Linked DNA regions of Coturnix japonica. The protein of the gene in region 2 purifies or fractionates together with the protein of the main gene of each other region. This does not show direct contact. Links are inferred from orthologs where the notes say so. Each region holds a gene or a part of one and is shown on either strand. Other genes may lie near its edges. The genes, in order: PAXIP1, KMT2C and NCOA6.

Region 1 (3,652 bases), about 1.0 Mb from region 2:
TGATTTCTCTTCTGGGTTGGTAATAAAATCAGCACTTAAAAGCATCCTTTTGAAAACATACGGTTTCAGATAGAAAACCTATTGTCTAATAGTGCAGCTTCTCTATGAGAGAGAACACCAGCACTATAATGCCTGATTACGCAATCTTTAAAGTAAAACTAATTCCAACTTATTTCATACTTTCTTTCTTCCAGCCAGCCCTACATATTACATTGGTGTGACATAAACTCCCTTCCTGATAACAATAGGCTGAAAAACAAAATATTTCTGGTACAAAAATAACAAAACAAAACCCAACATATCAGCCTAGATCACATAACAGCAAGTGATTTATAGTTTGAATATAAAAGTATTTGGGGTTTTGCCATGTCATGTTTGGTGCATCGTTTACCTTTCGAAATGAAGTCATTAAAGGAAAACTCTCCCTAGGTCAGAAGATAGTCCAGGACTACAGCATATGTTTAATGATAACTCACGAATTCTATTTGACATGTTCATTATGATGATCAAAGCAGCATTAAGTACCTCAATATATCATTTCTTTAATTCTCTTTTCTTTCTACAGCTCACTCCCTGAGTTGAATTCTCCTGATTGAGAATACGCAAACATCTCAGACACACAGATAGATGCAAGGGCATCTGTTTTGAAATACGAGATATAACATTTGAATTCTGTATCACTGAATTCTGTATCACATTAAGACCTGAAATTCCTAATATGAACACCTGGACTCCGGCTTCTACCACCTCTTGTTTTCCATTATCAACACTACCACCTGCTATCCTTCCAAAATGAGATCTCATGCCTGACAGCCTTCCTCCCTAGTCCTGCTGTTCACCGCAATCATCTGCTGGTATCTGCACTGAAATGCGCTGCCCTGCTTCAGCTTTTGCATAAATATAATGCCTGTTATGAATGGGCTGTGAAAAAAAACATATTACAGGATGATATTCATGCATAAGCAGCCATTGCCGTCATTCCTAGGATCCAAAGAAAAACTGAGGGAAACAAATAATGAAACAGTAATAAATAATAAAACAGAATACACCATCCACGTGCAAGAATACGTGCTCCAAATGAGTTGAGAAAAATAAATCCAGCCCACATAAACCACAGCAGTCTGCAAATGACACAGTCAAGCTACACAATAACAGCAGTGTTACCATTATGAGTTAACAAAGCACTATTTCTAAGAGTATGGATGTACTGCATGTTTATTTCTTACTTAACTTTGGCTCTTGAAAAGGCCATAAAAATAGGCCATTCCACAGACCCAACAACTGGCCCCTTACGGCATTCCAGCATCTCTCCCAGATCCTCAGTTAATGACCAACATCAAGCTAAAACGTTTGAGCTATTTGATAACAAACTTCCTACAATTGATTATTAAGTGCTTATCCAAAATAGCCAAAGGGAGAGGGAAAGTAAAGCAAGACAAAGAAGCTCTAAACACACTACGATCTTAACAAGCAAAATATATCCTATTATTACAAAAATGTAAGACATACATACATGTAACAATCTTCATTCATGCAGTGCAATCTATTTTAAGATGTTTCCTATAATATTCCATCCAATTTTAACTTAAAGGATACGGAAGGAGAGCTCCACAGCGAACAGACAGGATCACCCAGGAAGGCTGAAAGACAAAAACCATGAGATAAAAAAACCAAACTCATACTGTGTGAGTAAAATGCAAGTTAGTGACCAACTTCACAGCGTATCTGGTTTCAATATCCATCTCTCAGCTTTAAAGTCTGAGTGTTTCACAGATCCTTACACAGAAAGGGGTTTATATACACATAGTAATACAGGCTGCTAAGCACACAGGTGACAGACCCTAACCATTGGTATGCAGCAACAGAATGGCTCAAAGAGAGAGAAGGAAATAGAGAATAGAGGCTGTGTAGGACAGTGGTCCTGATACAATCTATAGGGGAGAAGAAGGAAGGAGTACCATCCTATTTAACATGACTTTTTTACCTCCCCACACTTTCCTCTGCCCCAGTATACACACACACACACACACACAGTAACTTTTTATGCCTTATTCATGCTATTATCTCTCATTTAGCAAAAGGCAGAAGTTTTGTACTTTTTTAATTCCACTGTTTGCAAAAAAATAAATAAAAATTGGGAGTTTTCTCTTAATTTTTTTCCCTTCCTCATTCTCCATCCCTTTTCTACCTTTGCCTCCAAGCCTCATTCCCTTAACACTAAGTCTAATCTTCTCAACTACAGAACATGTTGCTTAGTTGGACCTAGAAGCATCGCAACATCACTGAAAGGCCTGCTGCAAACGGCAGAAAGTTTAGTCAGTAGTGCTTAAAAAGAACACTGAATTATTTAAGTGAAAGGCAGCCAATAGCAAGAAGCACTGCTAGGACAATGATCACAGAATGACTCGGGTTGGAAGGGACCTCAAGGATCATGTAGTTCCAACACCCCTGCCTGGCAGGGCCACCAAACATACACCTTTACTAGATCAGGTTGCCCAGGGCCCCGTCCAACCTGGTCTTGAACACCTCCAAGGACGGGGCATCCACAACCTCCCTGGGCAGCCTGTTCCAGGGCCTAACCACTCTCCTAGTGAAGAAAATGCCATTCCATCCCATAAGAATGGTTGCAGCCTTCTTGTATCTCAAGACTGAAATGATGTCACAAAACACTTCATGAATGAGATAAATTAAAAACAAGAACTAAGCTCCCATCTAGAACCATAAGGCCTCATGCTAAGCACCCTCAATTTTTTGAGTCTGTGAATTCATACTTCTCCACTGCCAGGTGAACTCTCATGCTTTAAGTCATCAAAACTAAGTACTGTTGCCTGCAGCCACATAGAAAGAATAAACCAAACTTATGCACCTGAAAGTACTGGCAGAGAAATAATAATGGGTTTTCTTTCCTCATTGCTCATGAATTGCAGAACAACAGACTCATATTTTTAAACATGAAGCCTGGAAGCTTTAGCAGGAAAAATGAACCCAAACTGCAAGAGAGTAACAAAGTTACTTAAAGAACGCAGCATCCCACAGATGAATGAGGAATTTCAGAAAGGGACACACACACACACAAAAGAAAACTCATTAACAGATCACCAGATACAGAATAACAGTAGGAAAGGAGAAAACAGAACTGTAAAAGTCTACAGTTCAGGGGGGAAACAAAGATCATGAAATGAGAATAAAAGAAATGCAAAGGTGTGTTTCATTCAGACACCATCTAAACACTGGTATTTTCTGTCACCATAACCCAGTAACTGTGTCAAACAATATAGTGGAGGAGTCACCCACCTTTACCACAGGGAGATCAAAAACTTCACGAGATTCTCCAACCTCTGGATGGTCTCCGTCTTCTGAAATAATATGTGAGGCCAGGGCATTGTAAGAGACTTCCTTTGCTTTCCCAGCTTTCAGAAGTTGAATAACCTAAACCCAAAAGAGAAGGGGGAAGAAGTGAAAAATTATTATTACCTTTCAATGGAAAAGAACAGTAAGAAAAGAACTGCAGCACATCAAGGGAATGAGTTCAACCTTCTCTCTTGGTTGCCCTGTATAAATGGATAGTACTCTGGTGTTGTTTTTTTGGCAAGCACAACCCATTTAAATCCTGATTTCCCAAGGTTTGCAACTCTGCTGCATTTTGATGATT
Region 2 (3,652 bases):
TATCTCATCGCTTTACAAAAAAAAAAAACAAAACCAAAAAAAGACAACAAATTTGTAGTGGACATCACAAAGTGGATTCTGAACTTATTCATTTCTTAGGAGTGCTTCTAGATCCCAACGTCTTTTCAAAAGGGAAAGAATAAGCTTATCACTTGACATTACGCTGGTATAAAACAAAACTGGGTGATAGTGATTACAAGCTTAAAAAGAGCCTGGACATAATGCCTGTATAACAGTGAACTATAGGATCCAAGAAACATCACAGTTATCCATTATGTAGTTTGCTACAAAGTTGACCCAGCTATAAGGCAAACAATATGCATTAGCCTTACCATCGTGGCCTCCCAACATACCAGCCTTGCCAGCAAGCTCTTCAGTGGTTGCAAAGCCATTTACCAACTTCTGGCAGGCCACAGGAGGTGGTGTGGGTGGAAGAGAGGCCGGTGGTGTTGGAGGATTGCTCAGATTGTTCTGCTGCAGGAGAGAGAAGAACAGCAAGTTAGCTATGAAGCACAGTGTGAAAACTTGCCATGTTCTACTAGTAGATATTGTAACCCACTCCCTTATTTTAACATCCAGAGGTACCACTGATAAACAGTGACAGTCAGTTCTCAAATACGCAACTAAATATGTGGAATAACTTCCTGCTAGAAGAGACACAACATTTTCTTACTATCAAAGATACTACAGGAGAAATAAAGTTTACGCGAGAAGTAAATTTTCCTGATAGAGAAGGTAAAGCTGAATTATTTACATAAAGGCACGAAGAACATTTTTATGGACTTTTTGGGAGCCTCAATAAGTTCCTACAGTTTAAGCAAAGATCTGATCTAAAGACAGAGAGCAGTTCTAAAGGGGCTCTCCATCACAATAAAGGAGTTACCCATTTTCCACTAAAAGGGAAGCTGCCTCACATTAGCACAGGACAAGCTTTTGCTGAAGTAGTTACCATGGAGAACCTCACTCTGCAAGTTCACACTCGTCGCTGTTTCTCATTAGTTTACTTAATTGACCATACTTTAAACCAAAATTAAGTATAAATTTCAGTATCTTCTCTCATTGCAGTCATGCATACAAAGCTAGAAAGCATTATCCACAGCTATGGTAATATCTGCCAGGTCCCATTCTCAGCCTAGAGTATCCATTCTCAGGCTGGAATAAACACCAAGTACCAGACTTGATTCCCTGTCTGCTCTCTTGCTGCTGTCCCACCATTGCCATCCTGATCTCAGAGGCTGAGTCTTAAATTCTGTGGATTATTTGCTCATCAACAAACATCTTTTTTTTTTCCTCAGAGCTTTTAGTTCAAGCTTAGCAGACAAATGAGAAAAGTCTATTTCCCATTTGATTCACATTAAGAAATACTTAAGTGTTTTCAATGACTTTGCAAAGTACTGGGAATTCAGCCTTTTCTGCTCCATAAAAGTGTAATTACAATTTTCATTCTTTAGCATCCACTCGTAAGTGGAACACTTGCACATTTTAACCCATTTACAACAGTTTCTAGAACTGATTTCAACTTTCACAACAGTGAAACAATGTCTGCTTTAACACTGATCGGCCTATCTAATCTAACAACAGAAGATGGTTCTCTTCTGCTTGCAAAGGGCACAAATCTAAACCAACTCGCAGCAATGATGTAATGAACTTTTCTCTCAAGGAGCCCACAGAGGAAATCCAGATTGAAGCTGTACCTTGTATATGAGCTGGGAGTAGTAATCTGAAGCCCCATCAAGGGTAGCGCTACCAAAACTTCCTACAAGTCGATTTCCAGCATTTAGCTGGCCACTGCCATAGGGAAGAAAGTGTGCAAAGCTCACTCCAATTATTGGTTCCATCAAAGGTAGGAGAGAAAGCTGCTACATTGAAAGTAAAGAAAAAAGGTAGAAATTAGTCTAACTATAAAATTGAATAATCACAGACACTCAGCTGTTAGTAGTTTCTACTGCTGTTTTTAAAGGGAGTTTACCCACTATCAGACAACCATCACAAACTCAGGCCCCTCTCCTTTTTCAGGCATCAAAGATTCATAGATCACTTTAGGTTGGAAATGACTTTAAGGACCATCTAGTTCTAACCCCCCGGTCAGACGGTCCTCAGCCCAGGGGAGCCACTGCTCCCAGCTCTGTGGCAGCTCAGCAACAGCAGCAACCAAAGCAGGCAGGAATTCCATGGTTTTGAGCCTGCTGAACGCATGCCACGTCAGTAGATCTTCCAAACTGAAATAAATCCAAGCCTTTACACTTTCTGCTTCTATAGAAGTTACAGCTACACCCTGTACTCAGAATTCAACACCATTATCCATTTGGTTTTCACAATAAGAAACCCATTCTTTTAAAGCATCCCCTTGATGAGCTACCCAGTGTCGTGTTGTGTACGTACTTGTTTGAGATGGATGAACGTATCAGCATTGGGGTATATGGCCTGTTTTTCTTCCTCCTCTTTTTTCCTTTTCTTGGACCGAGGAGCTGCCTTTTCTCCTGTCCTCTGAGTTCGTTTATTTCTCTGTTTCTTGGTTTCGTGTCCCACATCTGCTCTCTGAAGTTGGCTGTTACTACACCTGAATGCACCTTGCAGCTGGTTTCCTGCAGTTTGCTGGCCGTAAAAAAGGAAATGAAGCAGATTTTTTGACTATATTATAATAGACAGTCCATTCTGCACAAGCCCTGACACAAGGATGCTCACAGCTACTCCTGTCATACATTTACCTAAGTTACCTGCTGCTCACAGTTACGTTTATCAGTTTTCATTTATTTTGAATGTATTTACACCTGATTTCAAGGATGTGTTTAGAGTTGGGAGACTAATAGGACAACAGTGTAGACACTAGAGACTATAATAAAATAATTGAAGTATACTAAGTCTCAAGTGTATACTACCTCCATAGAAAGCAATTTTTCAAGTTGTTTTAAAAAGTCTTATAAATTATTAACCCATATAATGCCATTAACACGAAGAATTCATGCCTCCTTCAATTAAAAATAAGCAGAGACAAAAACCAGCCTTTGAGAGCTGGTAACCACTGCAGAACGAAAGCAGGGAGAGGCTCACCATTCCTTCAGCCTGACTCTGCTTGTCCGTTAGCTTCTTCTCTCCAGCAGCCTCTTCTTCTGTTCGACAGCCACTCTCTGATTTCTGGTTCAGAAGAGATGAGGACTTTTTGTTTTTAAGCAGGTGCTTGAGCAACTCGTTCCCTGACTCCCCTTTGGCTGCTGGAACGCTGGCTGGCTGTGCTGGACTCTGAGCTGAAGAGGGAGGCTGAGATGAGACTTTATCTTCTTCCACCTTAACAGTGCTTTGATTTTCTGTTTTCGGCTCAGTCTGATCTGAGCACTGATCGGATTCTGCCTTTTCTAGTTTAACTTCTTGAATGCCAGCAGGTGTGTCTGGTTTGGCCTTGTCAGTCTCTGTGCTCACATTTGGCTGTTTTGGTGGCAAGCTGCTGCTGGGGAGCTGACACTCCAGCTCTGGAGAAGCCTGGCTCTCTGCTGCATTAGATGTTGATGGACCTGTTACCTCCACTGACTCTTGCTCATCTTGATGACGAGGCAGTTCACTAGGGGTGTTAACGGTGGGGGTAGAGGTAGAATCAGAAATGGTTGGAGTTGACGGTGCAGTTATATCCGAATGGGGAGTCGATGGGGCTTTTATT
Region 3 (3,652 bases), on a different chromosome or scaffold from region 2:
AGCTCCAACACTGGGGCTGTGCCTGCTGCCCACTGGGCAGAGCCTTTCCCTGACCCATACTTGACCCTCCTCGATTGACTAGTGAAAATTCAGAGGCTTTTAAGCCACTCCCTGCTTTCTGAGCACTGAATGGTTAATAGGACGCTGGGACAGGCCTGGGTTTCTTGCTGCCAGCTGTCCATATACCAGAAGCTGGCTGTTACTGTCAAGTAAACCTTTATATAATTCAGATTCTTGTTTTGTTGAGAATTTCTTTTTCCTCGTCATTTCTATAGAACTCTGCCTCTCCTTGCAGGCAGTGGACTTGTTTTCATGTCTTTAGTTTAAATGGAGAGCTGTTATTACATATATCTCCATACAGCCTCAGTATATTCATGAAACCATTAAGCCGTTAAGGTCTTTTGCTCTTCATTCTTCTTCATCTTAACATCCTCTGACCACAGGTTAGCTGTGAAAGCATGCTTGTAAAAAGCTTACTGTTGTGATGCAGTGGAAGCATTAGCTGTTGAATTTTGGAAATTTTAACATGTCCCCCAGGGTCTCCTGGAGCAAGGTCTGCATCCCACAGAGCTGTGTGCTCTGGTGGATGGCTTTGAACGCCTGATGTGCCAATACGTTGGTGCTGTGACAGGGATAGAGATCTGATACCCTAAGCTGGGCTCCCCTGGGAGCATGGTGCTGTCTCTGAAGTTCGCTGGATATACACACGATACTTATGTGTACAGACAGCACAGCAGTATTTGAGAAAAGCCTATTTAGATCCACCAGGAGAGCTATTTGTATATAAATTTGAAATATCTGTTGGCATTCTCTTATAAAACTCAGATTCAAGAAGAAACAAAGGAAGGAAACAAACGCTTCAGGTGAGTAAAGCACCAGGCAACTTGTCTTTTCAGGAGTAGTATTTAAGGCCCAGAAGTGACTATCGGTAGTCCTGGGCTGTGTTTGCATCTGCTGTACATGAGGCAGCGATCTGTTTCCATGAGTTACTTGCGGGTCAGCCAGAAGTGCTACAATGGTTGTGGAAGTGGAATCCATACACTGATGTTGCGGCTGTATGTAAACAGCAATTATTTTTCTTTCAGCTCTTCAGAACCGCGTTCAGGCAGCCTGGAGGAGAGCGATCAGTCATCAGCATCTGGAGATCAAGGAATCAACTTAGACAATTCAGGCCCTAAACTTTCAGACTTTGGAAGCAGGCCGCCAGGTGAGTGTTAAATGTTGTCACTACAGTAAAGCTTTTACTGATCTTTGTGGCAGTACTTTTTTGCACGTTTATGACCAAGTTTTTTGGTTTTTTTTCTCCTTGTGAATAATTGATTCCTCTATTTGTGCTCTTTGAATTAGCTCTAAATGAATAGACAGTTGCATCCTCATGTATCACCCAACTGCAGGTATCATGTTGAATACTGTAGAATTACTTAGCAATGTTACATTTTATAGATGTCTGCACTTCTAGCAGTAGCACAGTCTGGTGTCTTGAAAACTGACCAGTAGTCAGTAGTTCTCAGGTTTTTCAGAACCCTTCCAGTTTTTGTCTATCAGTCTTTTAGGTTTGTTTTGAGGGTGATTAATCTGTGAAAGTTTAACTCTGAATTTGAAAGTGGCAGCAAGCCTGTGGAATGGTGTAGAGACTTTTTGAGGTGTTGTGAAGCCAGGGTAGTAGCTGGTTGCTGGTATGGCCTTCCATTCAGTGTCACACAGGTCATTTATAATTCTTAACAATACTTTAAGTGAAATCCTTTTTTTATAATATATATGATATATGTAATATATAAAAACCCTTGTTTATAAAGCCTGTTCAGTTAATGTGGCTGTTACAGAGGATAAACTGGCTATCCTACCTACCGCTTCTATCTGATGCCATTCATTACATAAATTCTGCTTTCTCTGATTTTTGTTCTTGATCAGAATGTCACTGTGTCCTCTTAGGTTATCCTTCTCAGCCGGTGGAACAAAGACCACTTCAGCAGATGCCACCTCAACTCATGCCACACACACAGCAGCCACAGCAGCTGCAACAGCAGCCACAGCTGCCATCACAGCAAGCTCAGGCACCACCACAAACACCGCAGCAACAGCAGCAGATGATGATGATGCTTATGATGCAGCAGGATTCCAAATCAGTCAGGCTTCCTGTACCACAAGGAGTTCATCCACCTCGAGGGCCTCTGAATCCAGATGCACAACGAATGCCCATGCAGCAGAGCGGTAACATGCCAGTAATGGTCAATCTACAAGGCCCTGGATCTGTGCCTCTGTCTCCTGATAAACAGAGGATTTCCTTGCCAGGCAATCCTTCTCTGGGAGGTAATGCAAGAAAAATGGTTTATCAAGATAATGTACAGAATCCTTCCAGCTCACCTCTGGGAGAGGTTTCATCCGTATCTTCCCTTCCAGAAGGAGGTGGAACGGAAGGCCCCACAGCATCAGGAGCTCAGAATAATTTGACATCTCATTTAGTAGTTTCACAGAACCAATTAATGATGACGGGAGCTAAACCTGGACCATCCCCGCTTTCAACCACCCCAGGCGCAAGTCCTCAGCAGCAATCTAATTCTCTGCCTGGATCTCTTGCACACCATTTTCCTAACGTTGCTACCCCATCACAAACATCAAGGCCTAAAACCCCAAACAGAGCAAGCCCAAGGCCATACTATCCTCAGACTCCTAATAACCGCCCACCTAGCACAGAACCCTCAGAAATAAGCCTGTCTCCAGAGAGACTCAATGCTTCTATAGCTGGTCTTTTCCCTCCCCAAATTAATATTCCTTTACCTCCCAGACCTAATCTCAGTAGAGGATTTGATCAGCAGGGTCTTAATCCTACTACTTTGAAGGCTATTGGACAAGCCCCATCAAATCTCACAATTAACAATCAGTCCAGTTTTGCTTCTCCACAGTCACACAAATTGGAAAGTGTTGTTGTTAATTCAGGAAAGCAAACCAATGCTGGAGGAACAAAGAGAGCAAGTCCAAGCAATAGTCGAAGGTCCAGTCCTGGATCCAGCAGGAAAACAACACCAAGTCCTGGTAGACAGAATTCAAAAGCAGCAAAATTATCGTTGACTACTCCACAGAATCCATCTCTCTTGCAGAATGTAGATATGCAGAGGAATATAATGGTTGGTCCTGCTTCCTTGCCAACACCTGTTACTACAAGTTTTCAGAATAATAACATGCTAAGTAATCAGAGTCCAGCAGTTTCTGCACCTGCTATGACTGGCCTTCCTGAAGACAATAAGGAGAGCCTCAGTGTTCCTCAAGATAATGAATGTCAAAGTGCACAAACTGTCCAGGGTAACAAAGACCAGCCCAGCATTGAACTGAAAGGTGTCCCAACTCCAGAAATAAAAATGCTGGTTCCAGGGGAGCAGTCAAAAAAGGATGGGCAGGCCTTAGACACGGGTAAGCTTCCAGCTTTGGAGGAAAGTAAAACCATGGTATCTCCGGCTATGAGGGAAGCACCAACTTCTTTAAGTCAACTTCTTGATAATTCTGGAGCTCCTAATGTAACCATTAAGCCCCCAGGACTGACTGGTCTTGAAATGGCACCAGTAGTCACCACTGTGGAAGAGATAAAAAAGGTAGCTGTCATTCCTCCACTGCAAGATGCATCCTCTAGCAAAGAGCCATCTAATTCACTTAGTTT

Evidence for each region.
Region 1: the proteins of KMT2C (region 2) and PAXIP1 purify together in Homo sapiens (affinity purification with mass spectrometry; 4 studies listed by BioGRID and IntAct, with this or other methods). This does not show direct contact. The link is inferred for Coturnix japonica from reciprocal best matches to the Homo sapiens genes KMT2C and PAXIP1.
Region 3: the proteins of KMT2C (region 2) and NCOA6 purify together in Homo sapiens (co-immunoprecipitation; 7 studies listed by BioGRID and IntAct, with this or other methods). This does not show direct contact. The link is inferred for Coturnix japonica from reciprocal best matches to the Homo sapiens genes KMT2C and NCOA6.

Annotation. Positions count from the first base shown.
Region 1 is NC_029517.1:6,828,318-6,831,969, forward strand, and holds part of PAXIP1 (PAX-interacting protein 1), read right to left. Parts: intron 3,430-3,652; coding exon 3,295-3,429; intron 1,641-3,294; coding exon 1,597-1,640; intron 1-1,596.
Region 2 is NC_029517.1:5,829,238-5,832,889, forward strand, and holds part of KMT2C (histone-lysine N-methyltransferase 2C), read right to left. Parts: coding exon 3,052-3,652; intron 2,596-3,051; coding exon 2,383-2,595; intron 1,860-2,382; coding exon 1,695-1,859; intron 475-1,694; coding exon 333-474; intron 1-332. UniProt on the Homo sapiens protein: Histone methyltransferase that catalyzes methyl group transfer from S-adenosyl-L-methionine to the epsilon-amino group of 'Lys-4' of histone H3 (H3K4).
Region 3 is NC_029535.1:442,257-445,908, forward strand, and holds part of NCOA6 (nuclear receptor coactivator 6), read left to right. Parts: intron 1-1,085; coding exon 1,086-1,207; intron 1,208-1,932; coding exon 1,933-3,652. UniProt on the Homo sapiens protein: Nuclear receptor coactivator that directly binds nuclear receptors and stimulates the transcriptional activities in a hormone-dependent fashion. Coactivates expression in an agonist- and AF2-dependent manner.